Linked DNA regions of Caenorhabditis elegans. The protein of the gene in region 1 interacts with the protein of each later gene in a pairwise test. Each region holds a gene or a part of one and is shown in the gene's direction. Other genes may lie near its edges.

Region 1 (3,024 bases):
ATTACCTGATTCTGAAAAATTTTCTATAAAAATTTTTGAAGAAGTTTCTGGAAGCTAAACGATTCTAAAATTTTCCCGATTAGAAAAGAGGATCTAATAAAGTTCTAGAGGATTCTAAAATATTTTGAAGTTTATTGAAAATTTCTAAAAACTGCCAGGTGGTCTCTAGCAATGTTGAGAACTTTTTTTAAAAACTTTCTGGACTGTCCTAAGAAACTAGAACATTCTGAAATTTTCTGATACTTCTTGGATTTTTTTGGAGCACTGTGAAAATTCCAAAAAAATTCTGAAACTTTCTAAAACTTTCTGGGACTTTCCAAAATGTTTTCTAAAAAATTCTAAAAAAATTCTAATATTTTCTTAACTCATCTTTATTATATATTTTACCTGAAATTTCAACTTCTCCTGAAATTGTCTTATTTCCCACATCGTCCACTTCAATCACGTGCACTTTTTCGGCATGAATCCACGTGACCAAGACCAGGAAAATTCCAAAAATTGTCGCGGAGGTTTTAACAAACATTTTTTTTATCTGAAAGTTGATTTCTTGGAACTTTTCATGATGACAATTGACAAAAAAGTGGTAGATATTATTCCCAAAACACTATACATATTAGAATACAAAATCTAAACAAAAAAATAACGACACAAACACAAAAGTAACAATTTGGCGTGGTTACGTAACAGTTTTGTGCCCCTATTCCACCTTTGCCCCGTGAGGGTGGGCCGGTTTTAGGGGGATAAATTAGGGAAAAAAGTCAGGAAGCGTGTCGAAATCGGCGAGATCCAAAAAACCAGATGATTATATAATAGGAGGGGTGGTTGTTTCGAGGATACTCTTTTGGTCAGATTTATTGTATTTTAGTTAGGCTATATACTTGATGGCTAAAGTAGTTCTGAAGATGGTTCAGAACAATAGGAACAATTGTCGAAAAGTTCCAGTTTCTAGCATTTCGGCTAGTAAATTGTTGGTGTTTAACAGTAACAAAATAGTAACTTGTGGAAAAAACCAACCGATGGAAGTGATTTCGTGAGCTACAAACTACAATTCTACAAACTGCAATTTTCACAGATTTCGAAATATAATATTACTATAAACTATACCCATGCAATCTAGAATTTTCAGATTAAACAAATTAAACCAAAACTGTTACGCGAGTTACAGATTGAATACTACCAATTAGAAATTAGAAACTGTAAACTACAAACCACAAACTACAAACTACAGACCTGAAGTTGATAACTATAGAGTTGAGACAAGAGACTGAAACGTGCAACTCCACTTCAAAAACTTTTCCTAACAACTGAAATCTATAAAGTTGAAGCTACGGAAGTGCAAACTACAAACTACAAACTAAACTATGAAAGCGTACCCAATACATTGTTTAATATGTCCTAGAGTTCCTGAAAATGGCAGAAAACTAGGAATTCAAAAATGGCCGTGAAACAAAAAAGTTATAATTTTCAATTTTTTAATTTTTTAAAGGGTTTTCAAAAAATAAAATAATTTCACGCATCGGCCCGACAATTCCCTATCGCCACGTTTAATCTGCCCCAGTTTCGTCCGTATAAAAGCTCGAAAAAATGTGAAATCAAATCAGTCTCTGCTCGAATCATCACCGATTTTCTACTCGCTCGACAACGATCTCTCGCAGCTACAATGGATCAAATCCCACCATACGAGTTCAACAAGTACGTGCTCTACGTCCGTGGTGCCGTCATCGTCTGTGCTTCATTTGAGGTATGTTTGGGGATTTCTGGGAGGTTTTGTAAAGATCTCGCCCTGACCAGGTCTTTCCTTGGGGATTTTAATACAAGCGTAGAAGATTTTCTGTGTGGGCAATGAAGGGTAATTGCCGGTTCGCCGAATTTCCCGATAATTTGAAAACGGCAATCTGTCGGCTTTGCCGTTTGTCGGAAAACTCCATTTTCGGCAATTTTCAGCATTCCGAATTTTCCGTTTGCCGGTCATCCCTAAATGTAGCCTTTTTCATCTAAAACCTTTATAATTTTCAGCTCCTGTTGGTCCTATTCGGTTCCCTCGAAGATTGCAACTTCCTTGCTAAGCTCTTCTACTTCATCTTCCTTGGCGGAGCAGTTGCCATCTCAGCTCACAACATTGGTCTCAACGTGGATGGTCGCGAGGAGCTCAACAAGGTTCTTTCATCGTCAGAGAATGAAGTTCGTGGAAAGTCTGCTGCCTTGATTCTGGTGCCAGCGCTCTCCGGTGTCCTCGTCTTCTTATGTGTCTCTGGACATGCATTCTTCTCGCTTTTCGTGCTCATCCATGTGCTCGCCGCCGTTGGACAACTCGGAATTGAGGTTTATGAGTTGAAGAAGGGACAATCTGGAGGTTCTGCACGAGGTGCTGCACCGTCAGCACAGGATCCAGCTGCTGCTCCACCAGCCCAATAGACGAAGAAAATAAATCTGATATAAATGGAATAAATTGGAGTTTTTATTATTATTCTCGTTCAGATTTTTGTTTTGTATTTTCTTGAGATCGAACAGAGGCTCCCTGAAAAAAACGTTACAGGTCAGCAAAATATTTTTCTACTTCCGCGTATTAAAGAATTCTTGTCCGAAATAGAGAGGAAGTTTCGTAACACGTTTCGTAAGATTTGCCGTATATCATCTCGCGTAGTTTCGAGCAATTCTAAAAAATATTGTCAATTTCCATTCAGAATTTCTCAGTTTCCTCAGTTTTCCTAAGTTATTTTCTTATCGGACTCCTTATCAGTCGTCAATAAAATGGTAGGTGCTTACCATTTTTGCATTTTGTAATTTTCTGTAGACATGTCTTTGTGTCGCACATTTTTCTGTGTGAAGTGTTCACAATTCTTCGGTAAGTAGCAATTTAATTAAGTTTTGTTTAACTTATTAAACTTGGTAATATATTGTAGATATTTCATTAAAGGTGGAGTAGCGCCAGTGGGGAAATTGCTTTAAAACACGCCTATGGTACCACAATGACCGAATATCATAATAAAAAAATTCAAAAAAATTTTCCTGATTTTATATGAT
Region 2 (4,578 bases), on another chromosome or scaffold:
TTGCTTCAACTTCTCGAAAATCTGGATTTCTTCTTGATTTATCATTATCAGAAAACCGAATGATCGTCAGTTTTTCAAAATTCGTTGCCACATAAAAATCCTTCTCATATATAAATTCCAAATTTGGACGACGCTGCATAAGTGGATCGAATTCACAGGAAAAATCAAATTTTGTGCTGAAATCCCACGTATCTGCCACATGAATGTACCCCGATCTATCGGCAGAGATGAGACGATGTCCATCGGCAGATATTCTGGAATTTATGAGATTTAGAATACCTTCAATTTAAAGTTTTGAAAATAAAGTACTTTAGTCCATAAATTTGTGATTTGTGAAGAGATTTCTCAGCAATTGCTCCACGTGTGCTCCGAATATCAAATAGTCCAATTGTTCCATCTCGTCGTCCTGCATATAAGTAATGATGTTTTGATGGATACCACTGTACAACATCAATTGGTTCATCATTCCAATATATCGATTGAGGTAGATCCATTCCGACTCTGAAATGATATTTATTTTGAAATATAAAATGTTAATTAATTTTAATTAAATTTTAAATTTTGAAATAATTCATAAAAATTTAAGACAAGAGGTTCGACCAGGGGAAATTGTAAGACCAAAGTTTTAGAAAGTTAGGCAGTCATAACAAAATATAGCTCTTGTTCAATACAAGATCCACTAGCCTTCAGGCACGTAGGCAGGCATTTCGTGGAACTTTTAAAGCTTACCTAAAATCTATAATTTTCATTGATCTCCCTCCATCTGCCACGGCAACTTTTGAATTTGTCATATTATACTCATTCCAATCAAAATAAACATCTCCTTCAAATTGTTTCCCATGAACCACTTTTTCCATGGTACTATCACAAACTCGCATCCAATTTGATGCTGTTGTAACCATGAAAAGGCGAAGATCGATTGGACACCATTTTATTGTTTTCAGAGATTGCTTCGCAAGTTTTCTGAAATCTTGATAAATTTTAGAATTATTGCGGTTGTTACATACAGAGTCATAGGTTTCTTCCACTTTTTACGATCCAAGTATTTATATTTGGCAACTGACACTGAACCACTATGAGATCCAAATAGTAGCCTGAAAAATCAATTTTTTTTAAACAAACTCCTAATTAAACCAACATTTGGTCACCATCATCTATATCAATCGCACTAATATCTTCTTGATGGCCTTTCCCCGTCTGATCACAACCCATAGGAATATGTTTTGTCCATCGAAAATTCAAAAGAGCCCGTGAAACTTGTTGTTCTTCGAAAACTCGGCGTTTTCTGCAAAAAATTTCAAATATAACTCAAATTTTAAAAAAAATTAGTACAGTAAGAAAATCTAGGCCTGTAAATTCATAAAAGTTTAAAGTCGTTGCGGGACCCGTCTGGTTTTCTGACTCTTGCGCCTTGAAAAAATTGCGGTACTGTCATTTATTTTCTTTATTTGCGCATTTTAACATTAAATTTCTCTATTTTTCTCGTTTGTTTTAAATTTTAATTATGCATTTGCACTTTTTTTTCAAAATTATTACGAAATTCACATAAAAACCGCAAAACTCACTTCAAATCACAGCTGAACATGTACTCCTCGTGACGAACAGTCATTTTCCTGTTGAGAAATTATAGAAACATGCGAATAAATATATTACGATTAAATAAAAAGCTCAAACGTTGCTGTTAATTTGAATATCCTCCTTAAAACAGCCAATGGCCTAGAGTCCACCAAACAAGTTCATTCTCGGCCGCACCGGTTTTCCGTTATTTACCGGGCACTGATTCATCTGTTTCCAGACCGGTTGCAAAATTAGTTTGATAAAAATTTCAATTTCCACAAGGAAATATTTAGTTCAGAAATAGTAACAAAAGTAAAAAAGGTGCAGAAGTGTAAACAAACGGGCGAGAACACGTGGTTTTATCGATTTTTGCTTTAAACATCTGCATTCCGTCCTCTAAACTTTATGTGTCATTTATTGGCATTCAATTTGATTTTCTTTCAGATTTTCAGCCATTATGGCTGCAATAATCAATCAACGCGTCGAACAGGGCGAATCAAGTATGGGAGGAGCCAAACCAGGTTGGTGAATTGAAAACGAACCATTTGATTTCCATAACCTGTGTAATTTTCGAATTTATTTTAATTTTCAGCTCTTCTTCACAGAATCACTGGCCACGTGGCTCGTATCAATGACGTCATTTTACTATCAAAAGACGAAGGAGTCTGGACTGCAAGTGATGATAGATCCGTTCGCCTGTACTTAAAAAGAGATAATGATCAATTTTGGCCGTCAATTCATCATTTCATGCCAGTTGCTCCAACAAGTCTTTATTACAGTGAAGAAACTTATAAGTTAGTTTAAAGTTTAAATCGTTTTATTTTTTAAATTTTTAATTTTTTTATTCAGGCTGCTCGTCGGACTTATCAATGGAAATGTCTATGAATTCAGTGTTGCCGATGACTTTAACAGTATGACAGAATCCCGAAAATGGACATGTCACGCTGGACCAATCTCTGGACTCGGCTTTGCACTCTCCTCCGAGCTCATTTTCAGCTGTTCTCGAGATAAATCTATCGTCTGGCATTGTTCAGAAAATTCAAATAAGATGGGAAGTTATCTTTTGGAAAATAGTTGTACAGCAATGGTCATTGATCTTCCATTTGTATTCGTTGGAGATCATGGTGGGCATGTCACTGTTCTTCGTATTGTCGATAATCAACCAAATCTTGTCAGCAAGCTTAGTGCACATACGAGTGAGTTTTTATCGTATTCTTTTTTTTTGAGTAAAATATTAATTCGAAATTTTAAATGCTATCGTGCCTAGGAAAAATATTTGTTAAGTATAACATTCCAGTATTTCCTGAAATTCCCCACAATCAATACAATTAGTAATTGTGGTTTGAATTAGTTCAATGATTTTTCAGATGCAATCACCTCGCTCACATGGGACGGAAATAAGAAAGTTTTGTATTCTGGAAGCAGTGATCATCTCATCATAATGTGGGATATCGGAGGAGGAAGAGGAGAAGCTTATGAGCTTAAGTGAGTGTATATTTCTGGAATTTACGTGATATTTCGAAAGTGTTGATGTTTTTCGAGCGCAAAAGTTGAATTATATTTAGTTGAAATAGATTTTTCCAAATTAAAAAATGTTTTTTTCAGCGGACACAATGGAAAAGTGACAACACTATGCGCAGCTCCAGCAGCCAAACGTCTGTTCTCGGCTGACGAACACGGAAAGCTCATGTGCTGGGACATGAATTGCAAGAGAGTTGAGACTCCTGAATGGAAAACTTCGGATTGCTGTCAGAAATGCAATCAACCGTTCTTCTGGAATCTTCAAGCAATGTGGCAGAGGAAAGTGGTCGGATTGAGACAACATCACTGCAGAACCTGTGGATCAGCAGTCTGTGGATCTTGCTGTGACAACTGGACCACCTATCCACCAATGGGATATGAGACGAAAATTCGCATTTGTAATGACTGCAATGCACGAATGAAAGATAATCCACAGAATTTCAAGTAAGTTGTAAAGCAAATGACTGATGAAACTTATTTTCAATTTTAGCCTTACTCCACTTGCAATTCCACATGAAATCCATACTGGAATCACTGCTATGCATCTCCAGGAAACTCTCGGACTTCTAGTTACCAGTGGACAGAATCGTGTGATTATGATTTGGGATGTTCGAAGTGTTTGCTCTGCCCCTTCTGGATCACAATAAACAATTGCTTCTACTTCTCGAATTTCTCATAATTCTTTGTATTTCATCTAATTTATTTCCTCTCCTTTCTATTTTGTATATTCACTCTCAAAATGCCCATCCTTCCCCAAGACCAATTGTTGTCAAATCAAGACCTTCTAAAACTTACCAATATTTCCCGATACCCCTGACAGGTTGTCCTGAATAGTGATTGTGATTCTTACTTTTCTTCTAATCCCGATAATTTCCTAGTTTTTCGACTGTAAAATTGTATTTTTACAACAAAGTTTGAAAAAAAATCTTTTTTTTTGAAGTTTTTGGACAGAACGACTAGAAATTATTTCAAAAGAATGCATGCCGGGAGAGTAGGTGAGGTTGGTGACACTGGATGAAGGAGAAAGCTCACAGGAAGTACACAAAATAGCTGAGTTTTTGATGTTTATAAGAACGCTACGCGAAATTATGACTACGGGGAAAATTAAAAAATTGAGGAGAAATTATCAACATCCGCAAGCTCCTGCGCTGCTGTTTTGAGGGAAACTTCTTTCGGATAGGCACACGGATTGTGACCTCATAATACCAGTTTTAAGGCCTTCCCAGCCATCCACGGGCCGCAGTTCTCCGTCGTCGACTCGATTTTGAATCTAAAAATTTGAAAATTACATCATAAAATTGAAACATTTTCAAAAAAACCTCTTGTGCAATCATATGAAAAGCTTCATTAACATTGTCTCCTGTTCTCGACGACGTCTCGATAAACTTCATTTTATGGTACTTGGCAAAGTACTCGCCTTCCTCATAGTTTACCTGAAAGCTTTTAACCAATTTTTTAAACACAACTTTTGTTCAAAAATTACCTGTCGCTGTGAATCCA
Region 3 (6,801 bases), on another chromosome or scaffold:
CCGAAAAGAAAACAGCAAATGGTTGTCATTATATAATTATTTAAATTTTTTACAAAGGGTTTAAGATTTTTCAGAACACAAATTTATCGTCAGAGGAAAAAGCTTTCTTTCCCCAAAAATGTTCAAAACAACTCAAACAAAAATATGTATCAATTGAAAACATAACTTGCAACATTTTTGGAAAGCTTCAGATCAATCTTAACAACAAATACTACAATTTGAAGGATATATAAGAAAAGGGACCACCAAAGAGACCAAATGGAAAGAAAGGACAAATGGGAAAAGGTTTCATGGCTTTGGAAGAGGAGAAAGAGTGCCCAGACATACGAATTCGCGCACGCATGGACCGACGGCTCCGGATGTCAGAAGTAGAGAGCACGAGACGCAGACAAGAGTTACGAAATATTGGGGAGACAGTGCGTGAGAGGAAGAGACGCAGAGTGAGTTGCTATGGGAGACCCCGAGGACCTCATTTGTTTTTTCAAATTCCTGCGAAGGTCGGATGTGGAAAATTTTAGTTTGATTGGATTGTTTTTCGAGAAATTCGAGACACTTGATCTTCCACTTTTTCTTCATCAAAAGAGGTCATATTTCATTTTATTGCATTTGTTGAGGGTGGAAATTGTTCCTGCAGATGACTATTATCTACATCATTCAAAAAATGACAAAGTTACGTAATCGGGAAATGTGTGATTGACAGAGTTACGCTGAGATTTGAATAGAAGAAGTGGTAAACATCAAAGCAAAACCTCTTAAGTTTTAATTGGATATAGGTCTCGAATATGTATTGTGTGGTTTTTCAGAAGATTTTTTTTTTAAATTGTTGTATTTTCCAATTCAATTGATTTTAAATTTTAATTTTCTGATTTTTGTGTTAAACTCGGCGCAACTTACTATTATTAAAATTTCTCAGAAGACGATTTAAATTGTATATATATATAAATAGCTTTTGTGTGGCCATTATTTTGAAACTCCATTTGAAAAAAATAATGTGAATAATTTTTCTAACCTATAATTACTGAATGTCAAATACCCATCGAAGATATCAATCTGATTTTGAAACATTATTTTTAAACTTTTCATTCAATCACGACTAACTATTAAAACATGAGTCGAATAACACATACACCGATCATCAAACACCATATTTCTCTCTCGCAACTTGAGCCAATATGAGCATGAACCGATGACAGATGGCCCTGCCATTTAGGATAACATCGTGAAGCGTCAAAGCATAAATGTGCTCTCAAATGGATAATCGGTGATGACTGAAGTGTGTATGTGAGACAGAAACATGGAAAGATGGAAATAAATGAATAATATTCTAATAATCTCATATTTTCACTATTTATCTTGCTTCGCAATGTTCATCATGGTAGCTCACCTCTTGGTTGTTTCTGGGGACCAACTGGGAGAACAGTTACAAATATATTTTAGATTTTTACTGTTTGCCAATTGGTTAGGTTGATGCTGTTATGGGAGACGCCACCATCGTCGCCTTCCGATTTTTGAAAGCTGATTCCCGAAACTGTAGCCTCCTTTTCGATCTGATTGTGAGTTATGAGTTCTTCAATCGATTCTCGAAGTTAGAATTTATTTTTAACCACGAGAAATCAATGAGATTTACAACAAGAATACAGCAAACATTTTATTGACTTAATCGTATTCAAAGGGCAATACATTTTTATTCGAGCTCATTCCTTCGTTGATTCATTTCGGATTGACATCTTTTTCTTTTTCGTTGACAGAAGCTGCCTGTAACTATTTTTATTTTTTATTTTGAATATCAACAAATCACTCACATCTTCATAACTGGGACCTCCTACTTTCTGAATCGATGGAGCATCATGAAGTGTATCATCACTTTTATCATTGATTTTTCCTGGTTTCAGAGCATTACGATGGCGTGCAGTTGGAGTTCGAGCAACTGGTTTTGGCGATTTGGCCTTCACAACATGATTGTCTGGATGAAGTTCTGGTTCAGTGTCAGTCAATGGTTTTTCAGTCAATAATTCATTCGCGTAAATCGATCCTTTTCGAATTGGCTTATGAACCGATGGCATTTTCTTCTCTGAAACGGTAACTAATTATTTCATACTTGTTTTTTAATTCTTACCATCTTTAATATGTTCCGAAACTAGCGGTGGTCCCTGAGCTACAGATCTTTCCGTTTTTTTGGTTGTGGCCACCACCTTCTTTTCCTTCTTTGGAGTAGGAGCTGTAGGCACGGTGGAGTTTGAGATCTTGGGAGATGGCTCAATATTTGACATCGCCTCAGCCTTGTCTCTAAAAATATTAAGATTTGTTGAGCGCTCACATTTCAGATAACTCACTCGTTCAAAGAAGCTTGTTCGAAAGCTGTCACTTTCACTGGTTGCTTATCTTCCACAGCTTTTTTCACCTAAAAACATTATTTTTGAATCTCAAATCATAATAGCTACTTACGGCTGCAGGCTTGGCTCTCTCGCTGGGCTTTTTGGAGAAAGCAGAACATTTGACGATGATTGTGCTAATTAAAACCAAATGAGCTGTTAGAGATAACATTCTGTAATTGCCAAGTGTATTTCTTAAGAAAACAAGAAAATTTAACTCACATACGAAACTATCAAAAGTGACTTCGTAATTTTACAAAATGATGGCTTTTCTGGATTTGTTCCCTTCACGTGTAGAAAGAAACGAGCAAAAAAAATCTTAGTGTTAGCTTTTTAGTTTTCACGGTGAATATGGATATTTTTAATGCTCAAAAAAAAAATATTGAACATGGTTTCAACTTTAACATTGTTAATAGAATCAGATTGATTAAATAAATCTTAGCATAAAAAAACCAATGGGCATACCTTCCTTGGACTTTTTTTTAACAAACGATCTTGTTTACTAATCATATTCTATTTCCCATCATTCTAGAATCAGCAAAAAAAAGTGTGAAACCTGGTGTTTTTAGTCTCCCAAACATCCAGCCTCCAAGTCATCTATCTCCACCTTCTTCTCCTCATTTCAAATTCCTTTTCAATCTCGTTGTTTGTAAATGCAAATTGGGGCCAACAATACAATAGGTGTAAAATGGCATCAGAAGTAGTAGCAGGGGAGGGCAGTCATTCTCTTCTTCTCTGCCCCTTTCACAGCCTTCAATCAGTTTCAGTTTGTATCGTCCATCATTTTCGAGAATACGAGGTGACCAAGGTCAATTCCTTCGGTCCGCCTTGTTTCGTTACATGGTTTCATAGCGAATACTTTTCATAAAAGTGACCAAACCGCTCTTCTACATTTTTTTCTCGCTTCTTCGTCCAACTGAAAGTGATTTCTTTCAATTTATACTACTTTCATCTTATTTAGTACAGATACTAGTATAACTTTTTCCTTTCAATTTCATTTCGCTCATAAAATTGGCTGACTTTTCAGTTATAGTTTTGAATCGTTTCAATGCTTTGACTTCAGTCCAAATTAACTGATTAAAAGATTCAAATTTTTTTAAAGTAAAATTCTTTCTATTTTACAATTGAAGTTATTTTAGAATTTCATTTTTCTGAGTCAATTTTTTTGCATCTGAAATCTAAATTTGAAAATTTTGAAACTATAGAATATTATGTAGTTTTTCTAAAACTGTTATCTTATTTTCTAGGTTTTCAATTTTGCTGTTACATATTAAAAGTATTAAAATTTAAAGTTGAACATTTTCAGCATCAAGAATGAAATCAACACTTCTAATACTACTGTTATCAATCAAACAAGGTACGTATCTTCATATAATTTTCCTCCCGAATCACTATTGTCTTCACTCTGACATCACTTTTAAGACAACAACAGTCACGTTATACACTTAATGATGCTTTTCCTTGTTAATCTCTGAAACCACCCACACCTTCCCAATTTGAGAGTGACAAGAAATTCATTTGTTTGAAAGTATAAACGAGGTTGTAATGAGTCAGGCACTCTTTGAACAATGGAATAAAGAATTCAAAAAGGAGGCAAAAATGTTGTATGTGTGTAATGAATAGATGACCGTAACAGAGGACAAAACACATGATCAGAAAAGGGGGTAAACGGGTGAAGCAGACAGTTTGGCGGGTGGGTCTCATATGATGGCTAATGGGGAGTGTGTGTGTATTTTAAAAATCATTGAAACAAGATCTTCTGAAGCTTTCTGAAGCTTCTGAAGCACAAGGAAAATCACCAAATTTTTGAGAAATGCTGCATTTTTTTTTGAGAAATGCTGCATATTCAGAAACTTACAACGTTCGAATTAGGATCGCAAAAAATTAAAATCGAAATTATTTGCAAATTTTCTTTGATCGGCTTCCAAAATCATGTGTGGTCAAAAGTAATAGAAATCAATTTCCACTTTTTGACTCTATCTGTAAAGGAAAAATTTCAGTTTTTTTTAAATATTTTTCAATACGGTATTCATCCATTTTATCACCCTATAAGTAAAATTATGGTTTTTCAGCTTTAAACTAAAGAGTTAGATCAATAATACAAAAATTTACTATTGAAATTAACTATTGACCTCACTATAATTCACTCGTATTATTCAATTTTACAGGCTCTTCTCAAATAAATCTCGGATCATTCTTTCTCCATCCTCAGCAGAACAATGGCGGCTTCGACATGGGAATGGGACAAGGAGCAAATATTTTAGGATTTGGAGGTGATCGTAGCTTTAATTTAGCTGGTAACAGAGCTGGATTTGCTTTGGGATGTGAGTATTAACACTTTTAACAACAAAATTGCAAAACTCTAAAGACTAAGAACTCTTCGTGTACAGATTTAATAACGTAGGCCTGGCTGCATGCCCAATCGGTAAATTGTTATATGTTGAATAGCTCCTACTGCTCGAAAGATGACCGAGTCATTACAGTTTTCTTTTGAAAATGTGTTGATTACTGGCTTACTATTAGATTCAAACCAAGGTTTTGAAGACTTCCCATTACTTTATATGCGAAGTTATTTTTAAGTTGTACCCAACTTTTATTTTTATAATTGATTTAGCATGTATTAATTATTAAAAATTTAACAATCTTACTATTAGTTAGATATAATTATTTTTTTTATTTATAATTATAACATTTTTTAACAGTATGGACTTCTCAATCTAACTTTCTTTTCATTAATAATTTTCATTTAAATTTACTGTATTTTGCCTTTGATGTAATATTCAATAATTTCCTTTTTCAGCTAATAATGGAGCTCTTGTCGGCGGACAACGTGTTGGAGTTGATGGGGGAATTGGTGGAGGACGTGAAGGTGTTGAAATGGGAAGTCAGGTGCAATTTGGAAATGAGCCAAATCCTGGTCATCCAGCCGGACAGTTTGGAAGTTTTATGGATAATGTCAAAAACTTTTTCTCATTTTTGGGTAAGTTTGACTATAGGAATTTTCTGGAAAGCAGAAGCTAATCGTTCAAAAGGAAAATCATCTGTTCATAAAGTTATCTTGATCAAGCATCAATGTCTTTGTTTTCCATTTCAAGTTTAACACGTACATCATATGAACTTTGAACATCTATAATTCTTCTTTCTCTGGAACTTTTTCTATCTTAAATAAAAAATTACAGGTCGTGGAATGCCAATGCCCCCTCAACAACCACCTCCATCACCTCCATTCTCATTGGGAGTCACTCGTCCACCAACTTTAATTGGTACTGAAAGATCTGAAAGTGAAAATGGAGGAAGACATAGACGTATGTGATTATATATTTATTGAAACAGTGGGGATTTGTTAAAACAGGAGCTCTATGTTTTTTAAATTTGTTTCACATTCCTTTCACACAATTTTCTTTCAGCTCGCCCATGGTTCCCAGAAGGTGAACAAATTCCAGAAGTAACTGGAGAAATGAGGCCAAAAGAAGGAGAAGCTGGAATTTCTTCATCATCCTCTTCCTCTTCTGAAACTGAATTCATTGGGCCAAACAATGGAGAAATCCCCAGAAAATCTGTCGAGTTCAGTATCGATAAAGAGCCAAGAGAGGAGTTCACTGAGGATTTATTCACGGCACAAACAAGTCGACCACGAGAGTTGCCAGGGCTTATAGAGTTTGCCTAGATTATCTTAATTCTCCCATCTTTATATATTTTCTCAAACATTCCCTTACATAGATTTTCATGACCTTTCTACGGGTTTTGTAAATATTTAAATAGTTCTTGATCTTTTACGCTGCCCTTTTTGAATAATTTAAGTTGAATTGTCAAAAAAATTGCAGAATCACAGCTTTATGAATAAATCTTTATGACCAGCAACAAAAATACGCAGTGAACTATGAAATGGTATTGTTACGCAGAAAGAATCACATCTTATGTGACGTCATGCTTACACTTGAAATTTACATATTTATAAGAATTTAGTCACAATTGTGAAAAAAACCGATGACCCGTTGATCATTTGGAATTACAAATCACAGTTAAAACAATTGAATTACATACATAGAATTGAAACTATTAAACTAAAATCTTTGCAATCAGAGAAAAGGTTTGATGCATCTTTTGTTGATGTTCGCTTTTATGAGTGAATGACTTTTTTACAGCTCTTCGAAGCTCCGGATTGCACAGCTGAAATGAAAAAAAGTATGAGTTGATTTTGTGTTACAGTTTATATCTCTAAAGAAACATCTGAAAACATTTGCAACGTCCCGTTTCAGCCAGTAAATTTGAGGATTGTTACAATAAAATTTCGAACTGACAAATTCAAATTTATAATCACTTACCATATATATTGGGAGTCGAAGTGCACAAGCAGTCACTACCAGAACTGAAGAAAGATCAGCGGATAACATGTACTCTTCCAAGAACCTGAAATGTTTTTATAAAT

The links.
Region 2: the proteins of Y38C1AA.7 (region 1) and wdfy-2 interact in a two-hybrid assay, tested with the Caenorhabditis elegans proteins (one large-scale study listed by BioGRID).
Region 3: the proteins of Y38C1AA.7 (region 1) and B0034.1 interact in a two-hybrid assay, tested with the Caenorhabditis elegans proteins (one large-scale study listed by BioGRID).

Annotation. Positions count from the first base shown.
Region 1 is NC_003282.8:157,368-160,391, forward strand, and holds Y38C1AA.7 (DUF7087 domain-containing protein), read left to right. Parts: upstream 1-1,594; 5' UTR 1,595-1,660; coding exon 1,661-1,741; intron 1,742-2,016; coding exon 2,017-2,415; 3' UTR 2,416-2,469; downstream 2,470-3,024. Other genes in the region: gegf-1 (EGF-like domain-containing protein), read right to left, coding at 388-523; Y38C1AA.19 (RING-type domain-containing protein), read left to right, coding at 2,797-2,845.
Region 2 is NC_003280.10:9,317,864-9,322,441, forward strand, and holds wdfy-2 (WD repeat and FYVE domain-containing protein 2), read left to right. Parts: upstream 1-2,001; 5' UTR 2,002-2,014; coding exon 2,015-2,078; intron 2,079-2,149; coding exon 2,150-2,351; intron 2,352-2,406; coding exon 2,407-2,753; intron 2,754-2,924; coding exon 2,925-3,042; intron 3,043-3,162; coding exon 3,163-3,522; intron 3,523-3,568; coding exon 3,569-3,725; 3' UTR 3,726-4,015; downstream 4,016-4,578. Other genes in the region: csa-1 (WD_REPEATS_REGION domain-containing protein), read right to left, coding at 1-254, 310-501, 730-963, 1,008-1,094, 1,139-1,285, 1,566-1,609; Ras-related protein rab-39, read right to left, coding at 4,205-4,348, 4,398-4,511, 4,562-4,578. UniProt on the Caenorhabditis elegans protein: Plays a role in coelomocyte endocytosis.
Region 3 is NC_003280.10:5,966,425-5,973,225, forward strand, and holds B0034.1 (Glycine rich superfamily member), read left to right. Parts: upstream 1-2,071; 5' UTR 2,072-2,079; intron 2,080-2,116; coding exon of another isoform or gene 2,117-2,286; intron 2,287-2,333; coding exon of another isoform or gene 2,334-2,401; intron 2,402-2,445; coding exon of another isoform or gene 2,446-2,544; exon of another isoform or gene 2,545-2,545; intron 2,546-2,594; exon of another isoform or gene 2,595-3,107; intron 3,108-3,678; 5' UTR 3,679-3,686; coding exon 3,687-3,729; intron 3,730-4,540; coding exon 4,541-4,696; intron 4,697-5,172; coding exon 5,173-5,352; intron 5,353-5,551; coding exon 5,552-5,677; intron 5,678-5,779; coding exon 5,780-6,039; 3' UTR 6,040-6,238; downstream 6,239-6,801. Other genes in the region: B0034.4 (uncharacterized protein), read right to left, coding at 1,711-1,755, 1,803-2,071, 2,117-2,286, 2,334-2,401, 2,446-2,544; B0034.5 (G-protein coupled receptors family 1 profile domain-containing protein), read right to left, coding at 6,432-6,542, 6,698-6,782.